Rattus norvegicus: one gene and its partner. The protein of the gene in region 2 interacts with the protein of the main gene of each other region in a pairwise test. Links are inferred from orthologs where the notes say so. Each region holds a gene or a part of one and is shown on either strand. Other genes may lie near its edges. The genes, in order: Pex3 and Pex16.

The links.
Region 1: the proteins of Pex16 (region 2) and Pex3 interact in binary tests that used the Homo sapiens proteins (3 or more experiments, as listed by UniProt). The link is inferred for Rattus norvegicus from reciprocal best matches to the Homo sapiens genes PEX16 and PEX3.

The regions. Positions count from the first base shown.
Region 1 is NC_086019.1:9,764,768-9,779,136, forward strand, and holds the start of Pex3 (peroxisomal biogenesis factor 3), read right to left. Parts: upstream 9,713-14,369; 5' UTR 9,630-9,712; coding exon 9,557-9,629; intron 3,231-9,556; coding exon 3,099-3,230; intron 1-3,098. Other genes in the region: Adat2 (tRNA-specific adenosine deaminase 2), read left to right, coding at 10,003-10,098, 13,658-13,762. UniProt on the Homo sapiens protein: Involved in peroxisome biosynthesis and integrity. Assembles membrane vesicles before the matrix proteins are translocated. As a docking factor for PEX19, is necessary for the import of peroxisomal membrane proteins in the peroxisomes.
Region 2 is NC_086021.1:98,798,210-98,813,373, reverse strand, and holds Pex16 (peroxisomal biogenesis factor 16), read right to left. Parts: upstream 10,630-15,164; 5' UTR 10,534-10,629; coding exon 10,422-10,533; intron 10,227-10,421; coding exon 10,191-10,226; intron 9,460-10,190; coding exon 9,383-9,459; intron 9,047-9,382; coding exon 8,913-9,046; intron 8,783-8,912; coding exon 8,682-8,782; intron 7,897-8,681; coding exon 7,816-7,896; coding exon of another isoform or gene 7,799-7,815; exon of another isoform or gene 7,774-7,798; intron 7,694-7,773; coding exon 7,541-7,693; intron 7,456-7,540; coding exon 7,383-7,455; intron 7,299-7,382; coding exon of another isoform or gene 7,258-7,298; coding exon 7,138-7,257; intron 6,035-7,137; coding exon 5,970-6,034; intron 5,471-5,969; coding exon 5,412-5,470; 3' UTR 5,283-5,411; downstream 1-5,282. Other genes in the region: Mapk8ip1 (C-Jun-amino-terminal kinase-interacting protein 1), read left to right, coding at 136-211, 592-764, 1,006-1,115, 1,243-1,359, 1,534-1,604, 1,706-1,804, 2,087-2,159; Frey1 (protein Frey 1), read right to left, coding at 2,923-3,047, 3,215-3,288, 3,445-3,548. UniProt on the Homo sapiens protein: Required for peroxisome membrane biogenesis. May play a role in early stages of peroxisome assembly. Can recruit other peroxisomal proteins, such as PEX3 and PMP34, to de novo peroxisomes derived from the endoplasmic reticulum (ER).

The DNA of each region.
Region 1 (14,369 bases), on a different chromosome or scaffold from region 2:
CCTGAATGTATATCCATGTACAGTGTATGTGTAGGAGCCAGTGGAGGTCAGAAAAGGTCGTTGCATGCTCTGCTGCTAGAGTTAGACATGATTATGAGCTGCCATGTGGATGCTGGGAACCAAACACAGGTCCTCTGAGTTCTTAACTTCTGAGCCATCTCTCCACCACTATGCTAAACATTTCTGATCCAGACACAGATTGCAGAAGCTGTGTAGGCTGGAACCTGTACTTCCGTTTTCTCATCTGTAAGTTGAAGGTAACTCAGGGCCTGTCCTGTAGGACTGCTGTGGGGATTGAGGTACTTACAACATTTACAAAAGTACTGACTCACTCATGGAAATAGCCTAAGCTACTGTTACCGTTCTTTTTTGGGAGAGCGTTCTAAAGACATAATCTAGAATCTTCTTAGCAAGTAAGAGGCAGGGATGCACTATCTTGACTACCACATAGTATACTGTGATCCTCTACCCAAACCACACAATTCATTACTACAGTCCAATTACTGAAGTTAGTATTTCTAGAAGTCATAATGTACTGTTTGTTCATTACAGTTTATTTTCAGTTTGAATTTCCAATGTTCATTAAATACTATGCATCATTCTGAATCTGTAAAATTGACTCATCACACAAAAAAATTCATCTATCACAGTCCAAAAAACAAAATGTATTTTGTATTCTGAAACTTTATTAGTGATATCAGTTACACAAATAAACATCAGGCCATGTGTAAATGTAATGAGCTTCTCTCCTCAGTCTTCAGTAAATTCTCAGTCAAGAAAGGAAAAGGATAAACCCCTGAAGCATTCCCTCATAAACTGACATTAACCTCTCCTGGATGAAAACTGAAGCCCTCCATGCCGACGGTCTGCCCATCAAAGATTTCTAAGTCAGAGGGCTAATCACATTATTTGCATCCTCTTGTAAATGCATACCAGGAAGTTAGTTTGTCAAGCTTTTTAGAGAACTTGTATTTTACCTTCATGCTATGCTATTTTTAATTGTCTGCAGTCTGGTATCTGCTGAGGGTTGTGGTGGTCACGACATGCGTCAGCTCCACCTTCTAAGAGCAGTGAAATGAAGCAGCAGATTCATTACTGTGTTCACATCTCTTAGCCCATGAGTACTCTTGTGGGAACTCCTCTACCAGGGAACTGGACCTGGTAACTCACCAAGCTTTCTTAGACTGGGAAGAATCATTTCAGGCTTTTAATTTTTTAGACACAGTCTCACTATAGCTGTATTGGAACATGGTTGGCCTTGAACCCATAAAGAACTGTTTGTCTCTGCCTTCTGTTAGTCTCTGGGGCTAAAAGTATGGACCACTGTGCCTGGCTCTGGTATTTCTTACCTCCACTTCTTCCTTCCCCAAGTGTCAGAGACCTTCTTTCCTGTTCCTCCTCCCTCTCTACTATTCTTCATAGGCATTTCCCCCAAGCATTGCTTGTACATCTTCCCATTTGATTCTGGGAGGCGCAATATGACACAGGGTTTTGCCAAAGTGAGAGGTATTTTGAGATCCCAAAAGTGACCTTTTACTATTTTGTGAAAACTTGCACAATCATCTGAAGCAGACTTCACACTCTCTCACCACTCACTGACATGTCCTCAGTAGCACCGCATGTTCAAGGTGATTTTTAAGTCCACGCGCCGAGTGTCTATGTGCCAAGCATCTTATGTGGGGAATCTCACTGTCTTCTCACACACTACTTCTCTACTTTAAACAGGGACTAGCTATATGGCCCTGCTGCCATCAAACAGTCCTCCTGCCTAAGTGTCCCAAGTGCTAGGACGTGGATCAAACTCCAGGGCTTTGTGCGTGCTAGGCAAGCACCATCACCAGCTGAGCTATATCCCGGGTCCTTCACAATACATTTCTGAAGGAAGTTTTATAAAGGTCATTTTACAGGAAGAGCTGAGGTTCAGATTAGCCCAAAGAACACAGATTATACAACTTAAACTGGAAACTGATCTGGTGGTATCAGCCTCCCGAGAGCCCCAGTCATCCTGGCTGTGCGCATGCGCTGTCATTATGGCCAGTACTTCTGAATAGGGTTTCACAGAACCCTATATAAACCCAAAAATAAACTCGCATATAGCTGTGAACTTATCTTCTCTTTGACCTTAGCTTTTCCTCTATAACGTGAGGTAAGTGAGCTAGCAATAAGGTCCTCTCGGATCTAGAGAAAAGCCTACTCGTAGAGCGGAATGAGATACACTGAGCTTTGTAAATTCCCTCTAAGGTAGCCTTTAAAGAAATGTCAGAGAGAAAAAAACAGGCTTTAAACAGTAGAAGGAGCAGACTTGACGTAGATTTGAGAAACTGGTTTTCCAGGCATCACCCCAGTTAGAACCTAACTCCTTACTCTCTTCAAACTGAGCAGACTGACTGTATTGTGGCCTTTTCCCAGTAGGTTTCTGGCTCTGGTAGTTACATTATTACCATTAATTAAGTGATTGAGCAGACACTGTCGCGGAATGCTTATGTCCTACAGTGTCCTGCTGGAGACCTAATAGGCTTTGGGCTCTGTGCTGTGACCTACGAGGCCGCATGGGTGGGTCAGGCCTTTCTCCACAGCTTTGCTTCCTAGCACTCATCTGCTTTCCCTTGCTGCAGTGCCTGTGTGCTGTTCTTGTAATGTTTCTAGCATGTTCTCCTCTCAGGCATTTTCTCTCCATATTGTACCATGAGACTTTACAGCACAGGCCATCTGGTCAGAGGCACGAGCCCCCGACCACACTCTGCAGAGGTGTCCACTCCTCCCAGCTTTCCTTTCTGTACTGGGTCCACTGCAGCCTAAGGTTACCTTTGTGCTGTTTGCTGTCTTTCCACTAGAACCTGCTGGAGCTCAGGGGATCTTACTCTGTTTACTGCCTACTCACTCAGGGGCAGGCACTGTGAATATCTGCTGAATGAATGCATAAGTGAGTATTTATACGGCTTTAAAAATTCACGTGGAAATTACATATCTCTGTTAACAGGACTATTGGGTAGGTTTATCACACGTTCCTCATCTTTCCCATACACTGGAGCCTGAGGCTATGAATTAATACAAACCAACAAGCACTTTAACATAGATACATATATGCGTCTGCTTACCTGTCATATTGCAAGTCCTCTGGTTACTTTCAAAATGGTACTGTCGCCGAGCTTGGGCAATGTACTCTGCAGCTTCTCTTTCTTGTATTTCTCTAAGTTTTTTCTGTCCATATTTTCCCAGGATATAGACTCCTAAAAGTCATTTAAAAAACAAAACAAAACAAAACAAAGTAGTATATTAACTGGAGTACTAAAAATTCTAACCAATATTTTAAGCACTTTTGATTAAATCATGAGGTTGATACTAGGGACAAGCTGAAAATACAGTTTCTAAAAGACTTTTATTAAAGAACTGAAAAGGGAAAGGAGATACAGTGTTTACTTATATATTTATTTATTTATTTTACATGCATATAATATATTTTAATATAGCTAGTAAAAAAAGAAGACATTAACAGACAAGAAGCAGAAAGGCATTGGATTTATAAAGTCTGGCAGCATCTTTAATAGTTAATTGAAAATATTCTAAACATTCAGCAACGGAGGGTTATTTAAATAAATTATGATCTGTTCACATAATGGTATCTTATGTAGTTATTAAAAACCACATTGCTAAATAGTTAATGAGTCGAGGAAAGATCTACCTCATACTATTAGGTGATAAAATAACATCCAGGAAGTCTGTGTTTTAATGGAACAGATACACAGAAAAGTACATACTTAATTTCTAAAGTAAGATAAACTGTGATAATTGCGATTGTGTTTGCTTTTCTATATTTTCCATGTTGTCGTCAATGGCCACATAACTTTAAAAATCTCTACAGTAAAAGATTTAAAGGAATGAGAGAAGGGTATATCGTCAGGAAGACATGCATTTATCCACCCCTGTATTAGAAAAACATCTGAGAAAATAAGAAAATATAACTTACGCTGTCTACAAACTACTAATTCAAATGACAAAGGAAACAGGAAGACAGCACCGTAACACAACGGTGTAAAATATGGCAGGGTTGTGTGGTCTTCAGCACAGGATGTAAGGGGGTGCATTTTTGTCATCTACTGGGTGAGTGGCCATTGGTTTTCTTAACTGGGAATCTGATGAGCATTCAGTGTTAAACGTGGTGAGGATGCAGCGGCAGTCGAATCTCCTTTATTTTGGTCAGTTCCACACATGTAACAGCGCACTGAGATCACAGTCACCACTGCCCTGCTCCCCACTCTCACTTCTCTCCACTCCTGTGCTCCACTACTTTCCTCAGGCAGTCCCCCACACAAGATGGCTTGTTTTAACTAACTATCTCGGATTGGCATCAGAGGGTTTACTAAACAGTACAATGGATAGCAGAAGTGGATTCACGGACTATTTCAGTAAGCGTTTAAGAACTTGATGAGCTGAAACATTTTAGTACCATTTCTATAAACATGGACGCAAGGCCTTTTTCCTCAGGGATGGCTTAACCTGGAACCCAGAAAAGTCCTCCAAATCCAACAAGTTACAGCAATGACAGAGTTGCCTTTGTTTTGGGTACATGATTTTGTCATAGTGCCAAAGGTCAGAATTCAACAAGCTTATAGAAGAGGCTGTGTTATTGTTTCATTTTTGTTTGCTAATAAGTATCAATGTGTGCCAGAGCTTGATTTCATTATAAATCCTAGCAGCAAGGGCTCAGAGGGCTAACCATCATTCATTTATCTCCTCTGTCTGGGGCTTATACTATCTCCTAAAAGGCCTCAAGAATTATGCCTAACATAGTTGGATTAGGTCTGTTTCTCACAAGCAAGGACAAGGTAGACATCAGGAGCTGCAAAGCAAATATATCCTAAATTATTTTCACTAAATCAGATGTTGTGGATGATTTAAGATGTTATGTATCTTTAGATGGTTCCATAAAATTGTGTGCTGAATAGGAATAGTATGGTTGTTGTTACTACACATACAAATACATGCATTATAATTAAGCTCCAAGAGCAAAGAGAAATCAATAAATGCTGTTCATTGGCTGTCTTTTCTGTAACATCACAGCAGCACAGCCATTAGAATAAGAGAGGCATATGGGGCTCATGCCCATAAGTCCAGTTGAGGCAGGAGGGCTTTTTACCATTTTGAGGGGAACCTGGGATATACTGTGAGAACCTATTCCCCTTCCCTCACCACAAAGATCCCAAGAGAATGAAGAAACTGACTTAAATTTAGCAAAGTGACCCTCCAACAGGCAATTCTGGTTCACCTAGTTCTGAACATACTGCTTGTACCTTATCTCCATAACATATTACTGAAGGTTACACACACAGTGATTATTATCTCTCAAGTTATGTTGCAAAATGAATCGTTGATGTGACACTCTTTACTTGGTAAGTGCAGTATATTCTAGCTAAAGCTAGAATGGGCTTAATTGTGTGCACTGCTGTCCCGTGCCACAGGCTGATATACTGAACCTGAGAACAAAAGGTCAATACAAAGTGAGATCAGTGGGCCTCAATCCCACACGGCCAGTCCTGAGAGGAAGGTAAAAGGTAGACAGAGATATGTACAAAGGAAAGACAATTTGAAGGCTTCTGGAAGTTCTCTGTGGCTTTCCAGCAGTCAGTATTCAGTTGCAGAAGCCAGTGTGAAACAAGATGGCCACCACATGGCACAGCCTAGTAGGATCCCTTTCACAGGACGGAAGGAACAAACCCACAGACACCTTGATCAGGACTATTAACTTCAAAAGTATAAGATGAATTTTAGTTTTGTAAGTTTCTCACTTGGTAGGTTTCATTATGGAAGCCCTAGAAAAGTCACACATGAAATTGGGCTTAAGTCCTAGACAAACTGTTTTTCTTGAGTTAGCACTGATATTTCGAGTCAAGGTCTAGTTCACTTAGGATCTCATATATAAAAATCACAAACTGACTTCTTCTAATGTTTCTCTAGGAAACACTAATGAAAGAAAGAAAACTGCCATTAGCTAAGACAGACTTAAGACTGCCTCCGCTTCACTGGCAATGTGACGTGAACCAGCCAGCTGGTGAGGTGACTTGGAGCAGGCAGCTTACTCCTCTGCATAGACATCTTTTTCATGTGTAAAATCAAATAGCTGTAAATTTCCTCTGTAGTATAGCTACAATAATCTTCATTATTAGCAATTAAAATATCTACTAAATACCAAAAAAAAAAAAAAGCGAAAATGTTTTGATGTTTCCTTTCATGGCCAGTTAAGCAAAATATCTTTGTATAAATCATTTGTTTTAAAACCATCTCTTAGTTTTGTCTTCCAGGAGAAAAGTTCCTATAGCACAACTACTTTCAATAACAATTTGAAAATAATCCATCAACATTGCTTCCAATCAAGCAGATTCCCAATTTCTAATGTTTGCATTCTATTTCAATCTTTTTTCAGTGCTGAGTAGTGAACTTGTCCATTTGGTGACATCTCCATTTCAGCATTGAGGCGTTCCTGAACTATACTCTACACCTGAAGAAATAGAATCTGAAGGAAGGAGTCTATATTTTTCTGAAGCACTTTAAATGGTTTTCATCCATAGCAAAGACTGAGAAGCAAGTGCACACAGATCCTGCCCGCATTACACACAATGGCATAGTAAGGAAGGCATTCACAGTGTGGATTACTTTATTTCCATGTATGCTCTCCAGACTATAGCCCAGTAGAGTTAGAGTAGGCCTTATTCTTGTTCAAACGGAAAGTCGATAAATGACAAAAAAAAAAAAATCCCTAAAGAGGTTAAAAATTCCAAGGCTTAAGATATAACTCCATGTTCTGTGCTTTTAAAAAATCACCAGATATTAAGTGGGAATCCAGTTCCTCTGTTCTGTGACACTTTCGCTTATCCAGTGGTTTTCAAAGTATGGTCCTGGCATCCCTGGGGTCAGTTTAGGGATCCGTGAGGTCCACAAATATTTGTGTCATACTGAGATGTTGGGACTGGCATCCTGAGTGTTCACTGGAGGATTTTAGTAGCTATTTAATGGGAGGCATCATACATGACTACAGAAGGGATGAGAATTTAGCTTTCTTCAGTTAAGCCAAACTAAAGACCTTTGCAATTGTAAAATAATGCCATTCTTCTCACTAATTTCCAAAAATGTTTCATATTAATATTTAATAGGCTTATTGTTGTTACCTTAAATGAGCTAATACCTTTGGTTTTAACCTTAAATTCTCAAGTAGATATAGAATTCAGGAGGCTGTTGGGGGGGGTGCTCTTAATTTCTAATAGTATAAAGATTTCCCATCAAACAGTTTGAGAACCACTGTTCTTCTCCCGCCTCAAGCGGTCTAACTGTGTGAATGGACAAGCAGCAATTACCATCCGAAATGTAGGGAAGAAGGAATTCTGACTTTAGAAGCCACACAACTCAAAGTTCTGCCTTGCTGTGTTTTTCCAGCACTAAATATCTCTTTTGATCATGCATAATAACACTTTAATCAGCTTCCAAAATGTGTCACTCCTCTTATGAAATCTGCCTCATTTTAAGTAACTCCAGGTTGCTGCATACTACTGGGCTCTGTATTCAACTCTACCGTGGTCTGTAAACAGTATTTTACTTATCTCTTCATTCTTTAAACATTAAACAATCTGCTAAGGCAGAGTAGTAGAGTAATGAATGATAATATGTGTTGGGATCTAACACACTTGGGATTGAATTCTTATTTCCTTATTAGTAACTCAAACTCTTAGCAAGTTTCTTAGGGTGTGGGAACTCTAGTTTCTACATTTAAAATATGGCCAAATAATAAGTATCCTGCTGTCATTTCCAGAAGTTGGAAAGAACTTAGTATGCTGTTCAACATTCAGTGAGTCTCTAATAAATATATGATTAAAAATACATATATTATACCTATTCAATCATACTGTCCCCAGCAGTATAATCACTTAATAAATATTTCTTAAAATGTAGGATAGGAATTTCCTCAAAATACAGAAAAATATGAACTCTGTACAAAAAAAGGTTAAGTTCAGCTATTTCAAAACTTTCTATTTTGCTAAAAACCAACAGTGTTTCCACTACACCTCTGAATCTTTCCCCCTCCCTTTTGTTGTTGTTGTGTTTTGTTTTCTGTTTACCTATTTCTGTTTTTTGAGACAGGGTCTCATTATGAAGCTCTGGGTATTCTGGAACTCACTGTATAGACCACACCTCCACTCAGAGAGCTGCCTGCCTCTGCCTACAAATGCTGGGATTGAGGGTGTGTGCCACCACTCCCAGTTTTTTCCCTTCCTCTTAATCTCCAATTATAAAGCTCTCAATAGAGTTTCAAAAAAAACTTATTACTTAACCACATACTCTTTAATTTCTCCTATGACTATTTCTGATCTGTCATTAACTGCTTCATAAACCATAAGGGTTAGGCTCTCTTCTCTGAAATTGCTAGGGACAATTTTCTTTACTTAGGTAGAGCAAAAATTTTTCTTAATATGTCTTCCATGACACATACGACTTTATCTTCAACATATGTATTCTACAATATGGGTACAATTTATTAGAGAATAGAGGTAATATAAAACATATTTTATCTATAGAATATTTCCTAAGGGTGATTATTAACTATTAGCCATTTGTGCTATACCTTAAAGATATGCAGAACATGGTCATTGCCTTATTAATGATCTAATATTTTAAGTCACTTTATGATATAATTTAAGATATATATATATACATACACACACACATATATATATAGTGATAACATTTCTTAAAACTTAATTTTTTTAAACTTCCTTTTTGTGTTGTTCAAAAGATTCCCTTCTTTAAAGACCTTTAATTATGAACTGAGGGTTGTCTTACCAAGACAAAGGGTTTAAAGCAGTGTGTGTGTGTGTGTGTGTGTGTGTGTGTGTGCTGCTAGTTCCCTGGGATCCAACGCAGTCAGCCTAGGCAAGTGCTCTACCACAATGTTACAATTCCAGCATCATGATATTTTATCCTAGGTGTTTCTAACTTTCCTCTCAGCCAGTGAACTCAACTGTATCACCAAAAAGACAATGACCACAACCTTGCCAGTCCTGGCAACACTGCAGAATAACCCAGTCAAGCATTGTGTTGATACATACTTTGTATTTTAAAATTTGGGAATGGAGACTATCTACTGTATACCTTACAGCAACATGCTGTTTTTAATGTACCTTTAAACACCGCATCAAAGAGCAGACTTAAGCTAATTGCCCTAGAATATTTCGAAACTCGTGTGAAAGGTTGAAAGCAGAGTTGACAAACAGAAAGAAAAATCTATCAGGAAGGCAAAGAAGAGAATTGGAAGGCAATGTATCTATACGAGAATAGTGCTTTGAAAATAAACTTCATTGGGGGTAGATTCCTGAAGGCCCGTGAGGGAAAAAGGACAGGGTCAGAATGAGGGGTAAAGGGCACAGAGAGGGAAGATAAAAGAACTTTTTGACAGTTGGGCCAATCCCTTCGACAAATCCAGAACTACTATCAGGGGGCCCTGTCTGTTTTATGTCACCTGTCACTCCTTTCTGCCAATGGCCCCTTCTAAAACCGTGTTGTCACTCACCTCCAAGGACTGTGCCCAGGAAGATGCATTTCTTTTTGTGACGTTTCAGAAAATTCCACATTGATCTCAGCATCTTCAGACCCCGGGTTGTGTGGGTTGCCTAGGGGAGAGGGACTGGCTCACCAGGAAACCGTGTCTTCCGTCAATCTGGCCCGGATCTCTGGCAGAAGCGAGGTGGCGGCGCTAGGTGCTCTTCAGAAACCCCAAACGTTTCTTTGCGCAGAGGCTGTAGCCAGAGCGGAGGAAGGGGGCGTGGACTACAGCGGAGCAGCAACGCTTACGGTCCCCTAGCCCCGGCTTACTGATCCGGACCTGGGTCCGTCCGCAAATAGCTCCCGGGTGCCTCGCCCTTTTCCGTCTTCCCGGAAGCAAGGGCCCGCGCCCGCCGCGTTCCGCTGTCCTCTTTCCTCCAGTCCCTTGGCCCGGAGTCTCTGAGAGAAGGCGATATGGAAGAGAAAGTGGAGTCCACCACTGTTCCAGACGGCTCGTGCGTGGTGTCCGTACAGGAGACCGAAAAGTGGATGGAGGAGGCGATGCGAATGGTGAGGAACCCGGCAGGTGGATGCCGAGAGTGCAAACTTTCTCCCGGCCACATCCTGACCAGAGTAGTTTGAGCAAATGTGCCTGGCGCGCTTTCTCATCACCATTATATATGGGCTCTCAAAATACCTGAAGCAACAGCTTGTTTTATTCTAGAGGAATTTTCTTTAGCTTTGTCTCATAGTAATTGGAGTTGAGGGAAATTACAGAGACTGTTTGATTGATGTGTAGTATGTATTACAGGGAGCCTTAGCTGCTGCCTGGGGATACGTACTACCCAAATGCCTACCTTCCTTTCCATGTGGACACATATTTTCCACATTATTTTATGGCTTGCTCCCGACGCCCTTGAACATATATAATGGAAGGAAGCTGATGTTTCTGGAAGAGGGTCATATCAAAACATACCCCAGTATAATCCTCACCGATGATGTATTTACGCTTTCTATAGTACTTTTCTCTGCCCTTGTATTTCCTTCCCGCAATCCCTTTAGGATTGCTCATTATGGAGGGCCCTGGTCGTATTTACATGTTTTTCCAAGCTTATTACCCATATTGATGTGCGGCAAGGATATATATGTATGTATGCACAGTCTTTCTGATGCTGGGTTTTCATTCTGTGAACATCATGGAATTTGTTTACATCATTGTGAAGGCCTTAAAAACTAAGCTCAGCCTTTGATGTAGGGATGTTATTTTTGCTTATTCGTTTACAAAATTGAAATTTTCAACGTTTCCTTCTAATGGTTACGGAAGTTCACATTGATAAGAAATTAAAGTCTAGAACATTTAACAAATTATGTAAAAGTTACTTAAAAGCCCTGACCTCAGAGATAGCCCTGCTGATATTTTGTAAGCACCCTTCATATATTTCTGTCCCTGTGAAAACAGAAACATGCTCTCCGCCCCCTCCCCCAAAATAGCATAATTCATTCTTTTTTTTTAATTAACCTTTTTTTTTTTTTTGGTCATTTTTCTCAGAGCCTGGGGTGGGAGGAAGAGAGCCTTTATTCTTCTGTTCTTGAGTTGAGAATTTGTTGGTTTAAGGAAGACCAAGTCGCCATTTCCATTTCAGTGGAAGAGCTTTGACCTCTTCCAAAGAAGGCTAGCTTCTTAAGTTCAAAGCCATGTACCCAGTTAGACCTATTTTGACCCAGCTCTTTTGCATTTGTGACAAGAGAAAGGGACTAACTGGAAGAGTTGGGAGGGGCATTGGAAAATCTGAGATTGGATGTGGGTTTTCAGCTTCGAGTTTTGAACTTGTCAGTAGAGGAAATGCATGCACATTTGTATGTGTATGTGTACTGGGAAGCAATTCCTCTAAATCGACCTCCACAGACCGCTTTCTTTGGGCGTCACTTTCTCTCAACTGCCACTCCATTTGCTCAGCTACTCCCTAGCATCCTGGCCTACAAGTCGTGCCTTATCAATTATGTTCTATGTCTCTTTAAGGTAATCCTGTCACTTCTAGTGAGATAAATTTTGCTGGAAGGAAAAAAAAAAAGAGAGGACCCAGAGGCACTAGGTACCAAGAAGCCCAGTACTCTGTTGACCTGGGAGCAGAGAAAGGCTGCCAAGACAAGCAGTGTTCTGGAGCATGTCGGATGCACTGTGGATAATGCTTTAGGCATTCCCTACCTATGTGCTTCCTACCATGTTGGGGAGTTTTAAAATAAGTTATTATTTGTGCATGTGTATGTGTGGAGAGGGTGCATCTGTGTGTGTGCTCGCATGTGTCTGAGGACTACAGAACAACTTTTGGGAGGAGAGATATTTTTCTCCTTCCACTGTGGGTTCTGGGGATGGGACTCATCCTCACGCCTTCACAGCAAGCCCTGCTGAGCCATCTTGCTGGCCCAGTCTTTGATTCTCTTCTGTATGTTCGGAGCTGCTCTTGGCATTGTATCTCCTGACATCGCATTCAGTGGTCCAGGATGCAGGCTCACCAGAAGCCTTATCGCGCATCCCTCCCTCTTACTACTCCCTCTCCTCCGAACCAAAACTCTGATGAAGGGTCTAGTCAGTGAAGCCGAACGGGTTACTAAAGAGGCTTCGGAGAGAGAGAGCGATGCAAAGAACCCAGCACCTGACACTAATAGTTGTTCCAACTATTAATGGAGTAATGACTTTTATTCCAGATGTCTTAGATGGCTAAGTTATTTGACCTCCCTGCTTTGGTTTCCTTATCCAATGATGCTCAGTGCCCCTATCACATTCGGATTATACACGAAAGGAATTTATAGTTACAAAATGCTCAAAATAGTCCCAGACCAAACCATGCACATGCGTGCATACACACACACACACACACACACACACACACACACACACACACACACACACACACACAGCTAGTTAGATTTTCAACCTATGCATCTTGAGATGTAGACATGGCATTACCTCTTAAGAGTTCTGTTGGGAGGTACAGTGGAACACTGAAAATCTGAGCCCTGGGAAGTCATTTCTTCAAGCCATTGCTTTTCATTTCCGCCGCTCCACCTGAAATTCCTCTGTCTCGGCCTTGACACCACTGACACCGCCTTTCTTTTTGGCCTGCATTTTCCTAGGGTCTTCTACACAGTCAACAGATCTGCCTGACTCTTCATCAGTAGGCTTGCTACATCCTTCTTTAGCTCAGTTACTGACTTTTCCCTTTTACATAATTGTAAGCCACAGGAAACTGCAAAAAGTGTGCACAGAGAGGGCCCAGGCATTCAATGTTCTTCAGTGTCACACCTTGTCTAACTGTTGCTTCACTATCAGAACCAGGGAAATCTCATTGGAAGACTCTGAAGAACTTATTAAAGTCTCATCAGCTTAGTGTGTGTGTGTGTGTGTGTGTGTGTGTGTGTGTGTGTGTGTGTGTGTATGTGTGTGTGTGTGTGTGTGTGTGTGTGTGTGTGTGTGTATGTGTGTGTGTGTGTGTGTGTGTATGCGTGCGTGCAACATGGATCATAGATTTTTGTGAATATTTATTTTTTTAAAAACTTCCAATGTATTTTCCAAGTTGGTGTCATCGTTACATAAAATATCCCTAAATTTCCATGTGTCTCTTAGAATAAAAGTTGTGGGAAAGAGTGACATCCAGTCTGATCATTTTTATGGTATTGATACTCTATGGGATCATATCTACAATCTTAGAGAAGCTTAAAAGAATTAATCAAGTAGAAGTTTATCAAGGCAAAGTATTATAGCCAAATATTTACACATGTTATATATTCTCCCACCTCTTTGCAAATATGGGTATCATCTCTGAGAAGGGGCGGCCTTGGTATTTTAGGAACACTGGTCAAAAGCCATTGATTACTCAGACTTTCGGTGAGAGAAAATGAGGCGCAGGACCTGGGAAGGGAGACATCCCTGAGTTCTCCTTAACACAGACACCCAGCAGAGAACACAGCACATCACAGTCCAAAGACACCAGCGTTGAGACGGGGAAAGCACAGCTGTGTCTGTTTGCCCAGGTCATTGTCCACCCCTCGGTTCCCACTGCGTCTGTTTTTATCCACAGCCTTCTGAGCGCTGAGCGGCACCTCTCAGCTTTTCCACTTTGTGTTTCAGGCCAAAGAAGCACTCGAGAATATTGAAGTTCCTGTCGGCTGCCTCATGGTCTATAACAATGAAGTTGTGGGGAAGGGAAGAAATGAAGTGAATCAAACAAAAAACGTGAGTGGAGCACTGAGAACACAGAAGCATACTATGGCCACGGTGGGGCCAGTTGGCAAGACAAGAGCCAATGTGTCCTCTGGGGCAGTTCCCTGCCCCGCCTCCCGCTTAGTGTGTGTGTGTGTGTGTGTGTGTGTGTGTGTGTGTGTGTGTGTAGGCTGTGGAACAGTTCCTGCTGTCCCCCTCCCATATGTGTGTGTTTGTAGTGTGTGTGCGAACGCTAGTGCGTGTGCATGAAGGATGCAGGTTGAGGTCAAGATGTCTTCCTCTATCACTTTCCACCTGGTATCGTGAGGCAGTGTCCCTCCCTGCACCGGGAGCTCATCAGTTCAGCTCAGCTAGCTGCTAGCAAACCCTAGGGATCCCTGCTTTTCCTGTGTTCTGCACTGGGGTTGTCTATGGAATATATGGCTGTGTTTGGGTAGTCTCATGGGTTTTGGAGAGTCTAGATTCCCGTTCTCTTCCCCTGAAAGCACCTTACTTAAGAAACCATCTCTCCAGCCCTAGATCTTTTCTCTTCCTTTGTAAATTATTATTTTTTTCCCTGATTGGAACAATGATGCAATGACTTTTGTTTTGTTTTAGGTATCAAATTTTCAGAAAAGTT
Region 2 (15,164 bases):
GTGAGTCAGTGGATGGGGAGCAGTGTGGGAACCCGAATGGGCCTCAGAGACCATGTAGTCTGCCTGAGAGCAGGACAGAGCTTTCTACCTGCTCCAAGCTTAGGACACCTCCTCCAACCTATTGCCTTCCTACAGGTGCCGAGTCCTTTGGGCTGTTCTCCTGTGTCATCAATGGGGAGGAGCATGAGCAAACCCATCGGGCTATATTCAGGTGAGGGCTGCCTGCCTCCTTGCCTCTGCCAGCTCATCACTGGCATCCCCTCAGCTGCTGGAGACCATATCCCCGTACAGGAACTCCGCTTAGTGGCAAGGACCGAAGTGTCATGAAGAAGCTAGGGCTGTACACCTGGGGGCCAGAGAGATGCCTGCCCCGCATAGAACCTGTGCCCTAGGCAAGGTGCTCACTTTCATTCAAGTTTCCCAAGGCTTTAGGCTTCTGGGAAGCCTAAATTTTTGGATAGCAGACACATGTATCATGTGTTCCTTAGGAGGCAGCACCGTGACAGGTACCTGGGTAATTTGCAAATGTCAGTGGCTTAGGACCCCAGATTGGGCCCCAGATGAGCCGTGCCTCACACGCCTTTGGGACAGGTTTGTGCCTCGGCATGAAGATGAACTTGAGCTGGAAGTGGACGACCCTCTGCTGGTGGAGCTGCAGGCAGAAGACTATTGGTATGAGGCCTATAACATGCGCACTGGAGCCCGTGGTGTCTTTCCTGCCTACTATGCCATTGAGGTCACCAAGGAGCCTGAGCACATGGCAGGTAGTGCTCTCCCCCACTCTGGCCTTCCCACCCCTGCCTCTGCCCACCAACTTACCACAGGTCTTAGCTAGCCAGAGAGAGAGAGAGAGAGAGAGAGAGTAGAGGTGATTCCATTAAAGTTAGTGAGGCCCAGCCAAGTGAGTCTCTGTTGCCTCGGTCACTCTCCACGCTGCCTTCTCCTTGTCTCGGCTCTGAGCCCCTTGCTGATGGCTCTCTTGCTTATTGTATGCTTGCTTTCCAGCCCTTGCCAAAAACAGCGACTGGATTGACCAGTTCCGGGTGAAGTTCCTGGGCTCTGTCCAGGTTCCTTATCACAAGGGCAATGATGTCCTCTGTGCTGCTATGCAAAAGGTACCAACATCTGGGTCCCTGTTTCTTCCTGGGGGTGCCTATTCTCAGCCAGCCCACACTACTGTGGACCTGGAGGCAGTGCTGTGACAGTGGGACAGCTCCCAACTTGACCCTGTCCCTCATGCAGATCGCCACCACCCGCCGGCTCACCGTGCACTTTAACCCGCCCTCCAGCTGTGTCCTTGAAATCAGCGTTAGGGGTGTCAAGATAGGTGTCAAAGCTGATGAAGCTCAGGAGGCCAAGGTGACTTCCTTCAAGCCCCTGCCTTCTTGCCCCATGCATGTCTCCTCCCCTTTATTTCTTGCCTGACGTGTCTCTCCTCTCCTTGTGTGCCTACCCTCCCCCACACTGCATTTGCCCCTCCTGCCTGCTTCCCCCTGCAAGCTGACCATCTTGCTTCTCTCTTCACTCCTGTAGGGAAATAAATGTAGCCACTTTTTCCAGCTAAAAAACATCTCTTTCTGTGGGTACCATCCAAAGAACAACAAGTGAGTACAAGGGGCAGACACGAGAGTCTCACTGGTAGTCTTCAGACACGGTGGGTGGGTAGGACTCCGAATCTTGTCTCACAGATGCCTGCCTTCCACAGGTACTTTGGGTTTATCACTAAGCACCCTGCTGACCACCGGTTTGCCTGCCATGTCTTTGTGTCTGAAGATTCCACCAAAGCCCTGGCAGAGTCTGTGGGGTACGTGTGTGTGTGTAAGTGTGTGTGTAAGTGTGCTGTCCTATCTGTGCTCAGTGTCAGCATCACCCCTTCCCTCTAGTTCTGGAAACCCCAATCCGGGCAGAGGCTGGGAGGTCCTGGGAAGCCGAGGTTCTGGGCTACTTCCTTGTTGATTGGCCACTGCTCCCCTTCTCTTTGGGAAATAACTGCCCACGGACAGCTAGTCTGTACCAGAGACCCAAAGCTCCTCTTGAAGAACCTGGGTTGAGGCTCCTGGTCACTCCTGTGTCCCCCATTTTCCAGGCGTGCATTTCAGCAGTTCTACAAGCAATTTGTGGAATATACCTGTCCTACAGAAGATATCTACTTGGAGTAGCAGCAACCCCCCTCTCTGCAGCCCCTCAGCCCCAGGCCAGTACTAGGACAGCTGACTGCTGACAGGATGTTGTACTGCCACGAGAGAATGGGGGAGTGAGGGCTGTTGGGGTTGGGGGGCAGGGGTTTGGGGAGAGGCAGATGCAGTTTATTGTAATATATGGGGTTAGATTAATCTATGGAGGACAGTACAGGCTCTCTCGGGGCTGGGGAAGGGCAGGGCTGGGGTGGGGGTCAGGCATCTGGCCACAAAGGGATCCCCTAGGGACAGAGGCGCTGCACCATCCTGGGCCTTGTTTCATACTAGAGGCCCTGGCTTTCTGGCTCTTGGGTCCTGCCTTGACAAAGCCCATGCCACCTGGAAGTGTCACCTTCCCTTGTCCACCTCACCCAGAGCCCTGAGCTCATGCTGAGCCCAAGCACCTCCGAAGGACTTTCCAGTAAGGAAATGGCAACATGTGACAGTGAGGACCCTGTTCTCATCTGTGGGGCCTCCGGCAGCTCCGACCTCCAGCCTGGCCAGCACGCTGACCCTGGCAAGCTTGTGTGTTCAAAGAAGGAGAGGGCCACAGCAAGCCCTGCCTGCCAGGGAAGGTTCCCTCTCAGCTGGCCCCAGCCAACTGGTCACTGTCTTGTCACCTGGCTACTACTATTAAAGTGCCATTTCTTGTCTGGACCAGAGTGGGTGTGTTTACTCGGACCCCTGCTGGGCCTTCTTACTGCACATAGGCTATGGAGCCAAGCACTTGCTGCCCAGAATAGCTTTATGCGGGGTTCACATCATAGTAATAGTCAGCCATGTCGGGCCCGTCCCGCTTGCGCTGCTGGGCCTGGGAGAGAAGGGGTCTGGGCCCACCTGGCCTCGGGTGCTTGGGTCTTAGCCCGTAGTCTGAAGAAAGAAGAGGATGAGGGTGGAAACACTGCTTGACTTGGAATGGGGCTGTAGCCAACTCTCAAGAGGCCGTCTGGGAGAGGGAGACATAGGGCTTGGCCCTAGGGGACATCTAGGGACACCTGCTGTGGAGGGTGGGGGAGGGGAGAGAATTACTACCCTACCATCCACCAGGCCTGAGAGAGGCTGCAACAGTTCCAGCGGAGCTGAAAATTCCTCAGGAACAGATCGCTGAGACCTATGGAAAATATTGCTGTGCTGAGCCCTAACCCCAAAAGCCATCACCACTTCTTTATGAGGGACAGTCCGGGGTGAAGACTTCATGAACTAACCCTTCCCAGGATAGTGATCAGCCTCTTCCAGAGTCTTCGAGGCCCTAAGGCTGTGGCCTTACCTCTGGGGCTGAGGTCGAAGGAGTGCGCCTGCCAGGATGAGGTAAAATAGAAAGAGACTGAGCCCAGCCCTGGGGTACAGAACCCCAAGCATGGCGAGAACCATCTCCTACACAGTCCCTGCTGTGCTGGCTACCTGCCCCTCCCCCAACTGGACAGAACCTGGTGCCAATTCTCAGGGCCACCTCACAAAGGACATTAATTCCAGGGTTCAACACCCGCACTACCTCCCTTTTGTGTCCTAGAGAGGACCCCTGTCCTACATGTCCCTGCCAGGACATACCTCCTTTCTGTTCCCGGGACCTGGAATTCCATACTATCCAACTCCAAAGCCCTGTCCATCACTCGACCCCTGGACGCCACCAAACCCACATGGAGTCCCTGTGGTCTGCTGGGGTTATCTGTCTCCTGTCCCAGTGCCTTGGTTGAGCCTCTCCCCTGTCATGCCTAACGTCAGAGCCCCTGCTCACTTTCATGTCTGCCCACCAACCCAATCACCACGAAGTGCTGAAGATCGCTCAACAGCTGCTCTCCCCACTGCCCACCACACCAATCATATGACAAACCCTGCAGACCTTTGCTGGGACCTGCCTAGACCCTTATACCACAGCACTTCCACCAAGATTCCACAGTGGCCGTCCTGCCAGGCTACTGACAACACTGATGGCTGTGGGCTAGAATGTAAGTTGGTGGCTGAGTCCCCATCCAGCTCCAGAACAAGACGACTGGTGTCTGTTTCACAGCCTGATGGGAAAGGAGATTTGCTCTCCTTTGCTATCACTGCAGGGGGCACTTGCCACTGTGCTGCCTGACACTGCTGCCCTCTCCAAGATCCCAGCAGAGCATGTACACAAATGTCCTCTGGTAGTCAGCACCTACAGGGCAGGAACTATGCGTTGCATGGCACCAAAGCCCACTACAGTGCAAGCACCCAGAGGATGCTTGTCGGGCTAAGCAGAAGGGTCACAAGTTCCAAGCTGACAAACCCGACGACAAGCTAGCTGTCTTTTCTACTGCCCTGGCTCACAGCAGGGGTCTGTGACTCTCCGCATCTTGTGGCAAGCATGACAGGTTAAGGCTGGGACCATGAGGGTATCTTGGAGGAGGGGAGACCTGAGGGACAGGGGCAGACAGTGCTCTCCAAAGTCAAGTGGCACCAATGCTGGGAATAGTCCACACAACAAAAGGACAGGAATGAGGTAGCCCTATGGTCCCACAATGAGACTGCCATTGAGTTTGAGGCCCTTGAATGTCTTGTCTGAAAGAAAGGGAAGGCAGAAGAAGAGAGGAAAGGCACGTACTGAGAACAGAAAAGTTCAGGCCACAGTTCTGCCAGGCCCTCCTGTCTTCTCCAAGTAGCCTCCAGCATTCTCAGTCTTCATCAGCTGGTCAGCCTGTAGGAGTGTCAGGGAGGGGAACTCCAGCACACCCCCCAGAAACTGCCCATTTTCTTACAGACTCAGGTTCACACTCTATCTCCTGCCATAGAGAAGAGCTTCTCCTAGGGCTTGCTATTCAGCCCTGAGGGGAAAGGATACATTGAGGCACTAGCTACAAGGAATGCTAGACTATGGAAATCCGTGGCCTAGTTCAGCCTGTCTTCACCAGGGACCAATGAGAAAGAAGCATCTTGTCAGGCAGCTGAGGCAAATGGTGACCCATGCTGGAGAAGGCTAAGTCACAGCTGCCCCCTGGACCTGATGGAGGCCTCCTGCCCAGTGACAAGGAGCAGAATGCAATGGCTCCATCCCAGGAGAGTGCAGATGAACAGCTGTGGTCACTGGGACTGAGGAGCAGAGCTGCCAGGAGAGGTGTGGCTGATGGACACAGAGCCGCGTGCTGGATACTACCAGAGTCACTTTTATTAGAGAAGAGGGGCCTGGGGGGGAATTGGAGGGCTGAGAAAGGCCCTGCTCAGAGCAACAGAGCACACCACGTGGCCCACTCTGGACCAGCTCCTGCGTGCCTGTCAGCCCCAACTGTAGAAATATATTTTCTGCCAGGAGGGCAGGTAGTCCATGAGTGGCCCTGCAATGGAGGGAAGGGGAGTTAGACTGAGTCAGGCCCCTGGCATGCCCTGTGCCCTTTTCTTACACTGCCACCAGCAGAGCAGCTCACAGGTGTACCACCTGCTGCATCTCCTGCCTCTGATGCTGGAGACTAATTACACATAAGAATCCAGGTTTCCAGGGAGCAAGGGGCATGTCCTCCTTTATGGTCGGGTACCCAGATAGGCCCCAAGGCCCCTCCTTGCCTTACCAGATAAGGCTGCCTCCAAATATTCAGGTTCCAGAAGCAGGAGGAGGCTTGCCAACCTGATGTGGCCTAGTAATCCTACACACAAACACTGTTCTGGCCACATCCCCACCTCCATGGGCCACCTTAGGCCCTAGAGCTCCCAGTACTGATTTAGGGTTCACTCTTGACTGCCCAATAATCAAACCAAAAAAAGACAGAGCAAACATTAAAATGAGGCCCTCTGTGTCTCAGGGACATCTCACAACCACGTTGTCCTATCCACACTTACTTGCCACCAGGCCAATGCCAGGGATGTGGTCTGCAAGCAGCTGAAGCAGGAAGAGGATCTTGGCTCTGATTGGAGAAAAGAAACAGCATGCTGAGGGGTGGGCTGGCTCCCTGCTCACCAGGGGCTAAAGACCTTTACTGACCAGCAGGCATTTCAGAAAACAAGGGACTGGGCTGGACCCCAGCACTCCACCTGTCCACAGCTACACCCAATGTTCATAGCGGTCAGCTGTCAGCTGCAGGCATCACTCACACTACTGTCCTCTACTCCCACCCCTCTTCACCTTCCTACTATTGGTTCTCAACAACAGTGCTTCCTAAGGATCACCTCATAGTAAGGTCTGTGCCCTGGCAGTTTCTAGAGGGAAGGAAGCTGGTAGAAGGGCTAGGCTACATAGAGACCCCACAAACCAATGATCAGAGTAGTCAGGGTTCTGGGAAGAGGACAAGGCTGAGAAAGGTCCTCTCTGCCTCAAAGAGAGGCTTGTTTAAGATATGGGACTTCCCACAGGAGAACTTGAGGTGGGAACATTGGAAGAACACGTGTGGGTGGCAGATGTGGTTCAGGGGGAGAACACTTGCTTAGTATGAGGCCTTAGGTTTGATTCCCAGAAGTACTGGGAGAAAGACCTAAGATTCATCACATTCATTCATTATGTATCAAGCATGGGCAAACACATTCAGTTACCTCACCCTACACGGCCTATGAGATGGGCGCCATCACTGACACTGTTTACAGGTGAGAACATGAGCCCAGCCCCTGCTCCAACACTCCACCTTACATCATAGGTGTCCTGCCAGGCCTTTTTGAGAGATTCTCTGGCTAATGCAGGGCCTCTGATCCTCACAGGTGAACAATGTGGGGTGGGCCCAGCAGTAACAGCCTAGCTGGGGCCTGTTCGGTTGCCTAGCCCCTTTGGAGCATAGCGCCTGCTCTGAGAAGTGGATAACCTATAGTGAAAAGAACTAGAGAGGGGTGGTCTGCATGAGCTGTGCCTTGTGGACCTTGTACCACACCGTCAGTAGTCTCTCCACACCAAGTATGCAAGCTCACACTGGCCTGTCTCCTTTGAGGGTAGGTCAGGTGGCTCTGGAGGCTGCTTCCTGGACAGCACCAAAACCAGCAGGTATTCAGCAGACGCCAACCCTCTCCACACAACAGTCCTTACTCAGAGAAGCGGTCATAGAACGGTGAGCGCAATAGGTAGTACAGCAGCAGGATTGTGCGGCGCCTCAGTTCCAGCCGCTCCCTCCGGGTCAAGTTCTTCCTGTCGCTCAGGAGACTCAGGCTGTAGGGGAAGGGACATAGGGACAAGGATGACCTATGACCCTGAGAAGGAAAAAGTCACAGGCTAGGATAGCTGCACAGCAAGCAGAAAGCCCCACGGAACTCCACCTCCTCACCCATTCTCACCTAGTCATATCCACCACACCAGACAGGAGCCAGGGTGCCCACGATCGCTGACCCCATAAGCCCAGGCTGAGCACTGACGGTCAAGATGTCAAGGATGTCTCCAGTGCAGGGTCCAGCTCAGCTCCTCCCCAGCCCGCCTCCAGCACAGCTAAGGATACAGTGCAGCAGGGGCCGGGCGATATACAAAGACTCTGCAATGGTCTCCTGCAGTCCCAGAGGTGTTGGGGGTGTGCTCAGTTCCTCCTGCTGTTGTTTCTGCCGAATTTCCCGCTGCTGGGGGGCTCCCCAGTGCCTCGAGTGCAGGGATGGGCCTAGAACATAAAGACAAGGCAAGTGAGCCAGGAGCCAAAGTGGGTGATGACAGAAGCCAGTCCCTCAGGCTCACACTGACCTCAGCACCTAGGTGCCCAGTCCAGCTACATCTTCCACTTACTGTTCTGGAGGGTTCGCACCACTCTGTTTGACCGTTTTCCCACATATGACGGTTCCGGGCTGCCCAGATTGTGGTCGCCATCTAGCAGGTGTAGACAGGACATAACATAAGAGGGATACATTCCTAACAGAGCCTGTAGAGAACCTGTATGCAGTGAATGCTCAAGGAGCTACTCAGAGAACACAAGAGCCTGTCCTCAGGCAGTGGCTGAACAAGGAAATCACACCCAGAGACTGATCGGCAAGACATGATGGAAGCCCTCGGGAACTGACCCTGGCCCAGAAGAGGCCACCATCTCTCACAGTAAGTCAACCAAGAGCCTAGGCTTCCAAGATACTGGAGGAAGGAGAGGAGGGCCTATCCCATCAACATCTATCAGGGCTATGGGACCATGAAGCCATATTCTTTCAATGTGGGAGGCACATCACTGTCCCTGTTCAAGGTAAGGGGAAAGACTGAGGCTGACGGAGGGGCCCAAAGCAGCCAGGCGCCCTGGCCCTGCCTCTTGAGGCTACGGTTCAGGACACAGAACCAGGACCAAACATTTTGGCAGGACGCCTACCTTGTGCTGATGCTCTATCCCTAGTTCCTGCAGCCCACAACAGAGAAGGAGGATCTTGAACAAGTCCCAAGTGCAGGGACGGGAGTGTAGCTCAGTGGTAGAGCACTTGCCTCACATGTACAAGACACTGGGTTTGAGCGCCAGGATCTCAAACATAACCCCCCAAGTTTAAGTTCTAATTTTCCTCAAATCTTGTCTTTGTCTTCCTTATGGAATAAATGAGTGCTGAGCTGACAGGAAGTGTGCTCCAGAACTACAGAGAAGCCCCACCTCCCACTCCACTCCGGGTAGAGAAGCAGCTTACCCAAGGGCTGTGCCTGGGTCTCCCTGTCCAGTGGCACAATGGGGGGTGATGTCTGAATGCCAGTCTTGAACCAGATCAGCAAGAACATGCGCAGGACTGCCCTAATTGGGGGATTATGGCGCAGTTAGGGGAAAGTGGCTAGAAGGCCGGCAGCAAGGCTGCTCTGCTGAGCACCCTCATTGCTGGACTGGGTCACCCCACCAGAATCCTGCCCTCCACAACCCAACCTACTTGGCCAGCTGGATGAGAGCAATGACGAGCCAACGGCCTACTTCGCCCCACACCTTGGCAGCCCCCATCTCCATGAACACCTCCACACATTCCAGTACACTCAGCCATGTCAGCAACTTCTGCTGGGACAGCGACTGCAAGAAGCCCAGAGGTCAGGGAGCTTCTCTGGCCCCAAGTGCTGTCCTAGAGAAAGAGGGCTGCTCCAGCAGGTGGGGACGTCCCCCTTTCTAAACCTGAATTCAATTCCACTGAGTTCTAACACCTGAGTTCAATTCCACTGCTACCAGGCTGGCTGGCCTGGGACAGGCCTTTCTAGCTCTCTAAAACTTCATGCGTGAGACAATTGGTCTGAGGCTCACGTGGACGTGCCTCACACGCTGAGACTACAACATGGCCACACATGCTGGTCATTACTGTTTTCTTCCCAAGTCCCTGAGCTCCCCACCCTCAGCTCCTGGTAAAATTCTCACCACAGGCAACTTTTTTCGAAGCTCCTTCCGAAGGATCCCGTCATTGAGCAGCACAAGCAGGTTAGAGGCAGAGTACACTGAGAAGCAGAACGTGGTCTTAAGAGGCTGGCTCTGTTGTGGCCTTCACCCCTCTCACCTTTACCCCAGAACTCTACCAATCACAGCTACCCACAGACTGTGTGGAAACCAACAAGCCTCTCCTCCCACCTCCTCAGAGCCCCATTCTCTCCAAGATGACATCTGAGCCAATAAGAAATGAGCTGATTAGAGTGACAAGCCAGCCCTTGCTCTGCTGGACAGCACCGGTTACTGAGCTGCTCAGAACTGCCTGTCATGTTCCAAACAGCCAAGTGCGTGGCCCCACCACCCCCACCTTTGCTCTCTGCAGATGGTCCCCCTGAAGGGCTACATCACACCTCCCTTTCAAAACCTGCCTCATCCTTTCACAAGCTTCACTATCCCACTAAACAAACACTGCTGAGGACTTAAATGGCATGGAGGTTGTGACATTTGAATATTGGCCCTGACAGCAAGGACTTTTCTCCAGCCTCACTGAACTTTCATTCCCTTAACAGAACAACAGAACCTCTCTTATACTTAGAGGACTGATGACTAGCAAGGTCAGGAAAGTTGCTTAATCCTGAGCAAAACTAGTTGCGAATAGCCAGTCAAAGTCCTCACATGTCTCCTAACTCTGGAAACACCAAGTGTACTGGACAGTGGACAGCTGATCTAGAGGGAAGCTCAGGACCTACAGCCAGGGTTCCTCTGGAAGCCTTCTCTCTCCCCAGCCCAGAGTTCAACTCACCCAACTCAGACAGCTCGTGGGAATCGGAGAAGCGACCTAGGGAAGAAGGTATAGAAGGCGTTGGTGAGGCGTTTCTTTTACCCTGCAGCTTTGGGTTTCCTAGTGTCCTATACGCCACAGGAACCTGGACAGAAGTCAAGCACTGTGACCACTACCATGGGTCAGCAGGAAAAGGGCCATAGGGTTCATGGTCAGGGACCCGAAGAAATGGGTCAAAGGTCAGTGTGGTACCTGCCAGCAGGTAACTGAGGCCCCGCACAGCCGTCTCCAGCTGGGCCGTGGCGGCTGGATGACGAGTCACGTACTCCTGGTAGCGTAGGCCCAGAAGCCGCAGCTTCTCCATCCTGCTCTGGCCACCGACAAGTCCCACCGGCCGACAGCACTGCTGGCAGCGGCGCCCTGCGTCCTGAGCCCTCCTTCCTGCTTCCGGCCCTAGGCCCGCCTCCAAGTTGCTCAACTTCCGCAGCCCAGGACTACTTAGACGCGCGGAACCCTTGAACGCCCCTTCACCCCATCTCTAGCGCCTCCTCCCCGCGACTGTGAGCTCCCACCCTCCCTCCTTCCAGCCATTGGCTCCTTCACTCTCCGCCCTGAAGCTCCCTAGAGCCTCCGGCACCCAATCTTCAGCCTTCTTGGTTGGCTGTCTTGGCGCCTGCGCAGTTACAGCTTGACGGCAGCCTAAACAGTTCATACTAGAGAAGGGCGTACGAAGCCTCAGACTTTGTCAGCAGATCGCCGAGAGCTCGAACGGGAGGTTCGGGAAGCAAAGAGCTTGGGGTTTAAGGCACAGGGAACCTCGAAACTGTTGTAAATGGGTCTCAGCAGCCGTCAGTCTCCAAAAACCGGTGCCCGGGAAACAGGCAAACCTAGCCAGCAGATTTAGGACAATGGTTTCGGCTCCAGCTTCTTCAGAACATGTGGACCCCCAAAACCCGTACCCGATGACAACCTACGCGGAGAATACCCTGCCTATCCCTTTGCTCTCCATTTAGGGGTGACCCTGCGCATTAGCTTTCCTGATCTGCACCTCGGGTTTCATCTACAAATTATTTGGGCCCGACTTGGACCTTGAACTCGGAACGAATCCCAGCATTTTCTGGCCCTTGGATGCACTTCCAGGCTCTCAGCTGTGCCCCAAGGGTTGGTGGTAACTCCTAAGGATCCATTCCTGAACAGAGCTACAAGGCTGCCTAGAGTCCAGGTGCTGCAGAAGAGGAGGGAGGGAATCGCTCCTGGGAGGCAGTTGATTGGCTGTGGGAAGAGGGGGCTTGGCAAGTCTGCGCCATTGCGGACTCCCCCCGCGAATATATGGTATACAAAGAATTGTAATACATTTATTTAATACCCTGTAGATATTATCTTCAGACAAGGGCAGAATATGTCCAATTACGCCCCTCCAGTATATTACATGCATGTACGAGAATGTCATATGAAACCCATTATTTTGGTTTGCTTGTTTTAAGACAGGATCTCACGGTGTATCCCTGGCTGGTACAATACATAGAGATCTGCCCTAAGTCTGCCTCCCAAGTGCCGGGATTATAAGGCATGTGCCAGCACAAGAGGCGAAGCACATTGTTTTGTACAATTAGCATACACTAATAAAAATTCTCATAAGGGAGCTGGAGAGATGGGCCAGGGGTTAAGAAATGCTCATTCAGTAATCTTTAAAAGCTGGGCATGATGCTAGAGAGATGACTTGGAATAAAAGAGCACTCGTTTTTGCAGAGGACCCATATTGGTGGCCTGCAACCCTCCATAATTCCAGTTTTAGGGCATTCAGTGCCTTCTTATGATCTCTGCAGGCACAAATGTGATTATACATAAAGACATGCAGGCCAAACTCATATTCACACAATGAAATAAAATTTAAAATAAAAAGCTGGACTTAGCGCCACATCCCTGTAAGTAATTCCAGCACTCTGGAGTCAGTCAAGAGGATGGTTGCAAGTTCAAAGGCAGCCTCTCCCATGTAGTGAGTTCCAGGTTAGCCTGGGCTAGAGTAAGACTTTGTTTTTAAAAATCAAATCTAAGTTAATTTTTAAAGTGCCTGCTGTGTCATGACTGAAATGCTGCTGTGGTCTTAGCCAGAGCAGGGCCATTTTAAGCAGCACACTCACCAGGAAGTCACAACATACCTCCACTTCTTTCCCTTTCTTTTTCTTTTTCCTTTTCTTTATGTATGTGAGGACACTGTAGCTGTCTTCAGACACACCAGAAGAGGGCATCAGATCCCATTACAGATAGTTGTGAGCCACCATGTGGTTGCTGGGAATTGAACACGGGACCTCTGGAAAACCAGCCAGTGCTCTTAACCACTGAGCCATCTCTCCAGCTCCTCTTTCCCTTTCTTTAATCAGTGTGGAGCCAAGCTCCCGCTGTTGCCAACCACACTCATGCCAGTGTCAGCAAAGTTTCACGGAAAGGTGTGGTAAGCCTCAGAAGAGTCTGTGGTATGGGCACTGTGAAGTCTTCCTTCACCCTGTCCTGAGGCCTCACATGCTCCTGGCCCTACTGGTAATTGTGATGGTTCCATCTTCATTGTCGGCTTGGTAGGTTTAGAATCACTATAGAAACATCTCTGAGTGTGTCCATGGATGTGTTTCCAGAAACACTGAATCCAGAGGCCTCAGTCTGGATATTTGTACCCTAAGAGTCCGGAGCTGAATGAAGGAGAAAGCAAGCTGTGCACCTGCATTGTCTTTCTCTGTTCCCTGACTGTGTATACAATGTGGCCAGCTGTCTGTGGCTTTTGAAATCACGGCCTCCCTGCTATGATGCATTCATTAAATCCTTAAACTGTGAACCAAAATAAATACCCACTTAAGCTTACTCTGCCAGGTGTTTCTTTTGTCACATCGTTAAGAAAAGTAAGTCATACATCAACCTTGTCTGATTGGTGGGAACTCTCCCACAGATGAAGCCCAGGGAGGCTCAACTGCTTAGCCTAGGTAGCACAGCAAGACTCTGACCAAAAAGGCTCATGGCAATGTCTTCTAGCTCAGAAGGCATGACGAGGCAAGCTTGGCTTAGGAACTTGCCTCAGGAAGTCATTGAGTTTACTACCTTTGGGGCCACTCCTCCAGCTCTCTGCCCAGCTGAAGTGAAGGTGTGTGTGTTTGTACTTGTGTGTACATGTCGGCAAGTTCTTAGGTGCAAGATTTCATCAGATGGTCTTTTGTTCTGGGGAGGAAAGATAGGCCCCGGAGGACAGAATGGTACATCACCTCCTCTCCATATCCCAACAGTGAAGGGCCCTTCTCTCCAGGAGAGGGGACTGGGCCAGCCAGGCTGGCAGCAACAGACCTGCCTGAATTTTTTCCTCTAGATCTGGAGGCTGATTAGGCTTCAGAGATAAAGAGCAGAGGTGTGCATAGACTTGGCAGGCCGGAAGGCCCCTCCCTTTTGAATTCCTGCCTGGACCTGGCAGCAAGGCTGGGCTGCAAAGACTTCTGGATAAATTGCGTTGGATCCTCACACCTTCAGTGTATCCCAAACCTCCGGGAGAAGAAGGAGAAGAAAGACCAGTTGGACAGACACAGATGAGGACAGCAGAAGCCTAGGGAGGGTGCTGGACAGGTCCAAGGTCACAAAGTAAAGTCCTGGGCAGAGCTGGCTGAAATTGGGGTGGGGTTGGGGTGGTATTGTTCTCAGCTCCTAAAGATTAGTTTCACTTGGCTCTTCCTTTCCTCTTTTTTTTTTTTTTTTTTTTTTTTTTTGGTTCTTTTTTTCGGAGCTGGGGACTGAACCCAGGGCCTTGTGCTTCCTAGGTAAGCGCTCTACCACTGAGCTAAATCCCCAGCCCCTCTTCCTTTCCTCTTAAGACTCCCAAAGGGCTTCTTGAGGGTCCAGCAGATATTTCTGCCCTTCCTTTCACTACCCCCAACCCACAGTGCCGAAGTTTCGACAGGTTCCACATGAGAGCACAGTGGGCTCTACAGAGGCAGTATCTCCACTAGCTCACATCTCTGCCTGTGACCCTAACTGCTCCTTCACATTTTGACTCCCACGACCATGGCTCTGGGTTGAGGACCACTCCCACCCACCCCTGACCCAGATCCCAACTACACAGCAGGCTGAAAATGAAGATGAAGCTCTGGGCCTCAAAGCCCTGCCACACCAGGGTTTTCTTTTAATTCCTAAAAGTGCAAGAGGCAGCTTTTGGTTTCCATAGCAACCTCTGAAGACCTACAAGCTGATGCCCCCCACCCCCCATCTCCCAGAGAAAGGCATTCCGATCATTCAAGGGAGGAGCCAGCCCCAAGCAACTGTTTATGGGTCTGCCCCACTTTTTACAACTGGCCCTAGGGCTAAAAGGCCCAACTTGAGCTGCTGTGAGGCTCTTACCTTAAAAGGCAGGTCCAAGTTCCCACCCAGTTTCCGCATGCACACTGAACACTGGAATGTGTGTGGAGGTGTGGGAGGTGGGGGCTACCTCCTGAACAAACAGGTACCTTCAGCTTCCCTTGAGGGCCTGGGGAAATAAGTAAGGGATGTAGAGAAAACTACATTCCAGGAGGAAGGGCAGGGGCCGGTCCTGAGATAGAAGACCTTTAGGGAAGACTGAGAAAGCAGCCCCAGCTGGGAGTCTGAGGAGCAGTAGAGGACTGTCTGCCATAGCACATAGCCAAAGGCTGTAGGTAGGTTCCTTTCACTCTACAGGGACAATTTCAACTTGTGTCCTCGGGGTGACGTGAGGATTACCTGAGCAAAGACTTGGCAAACACTTAGCTCAGGGCCTGGCGCTCAACCAACCATGGCGGTCTCCTTCACAGCCCAGAGCTCCCTGCAACCCTACAGGGCAAAAGGCGTGCCGGAGGCCCGCTGAGGGGTGAAGAGAAGAGGGAGGAAGAAATCCAGACCTTGGAGCCCAGCACAATCACAGTTTTTTAGACAAGGGGGGTGGGGGGATGCATGGCCCTGCCCCGGAGCCCCGGAGGCCATGAGGCTCTTTGCAGCCTCTTTCCCCAGCTC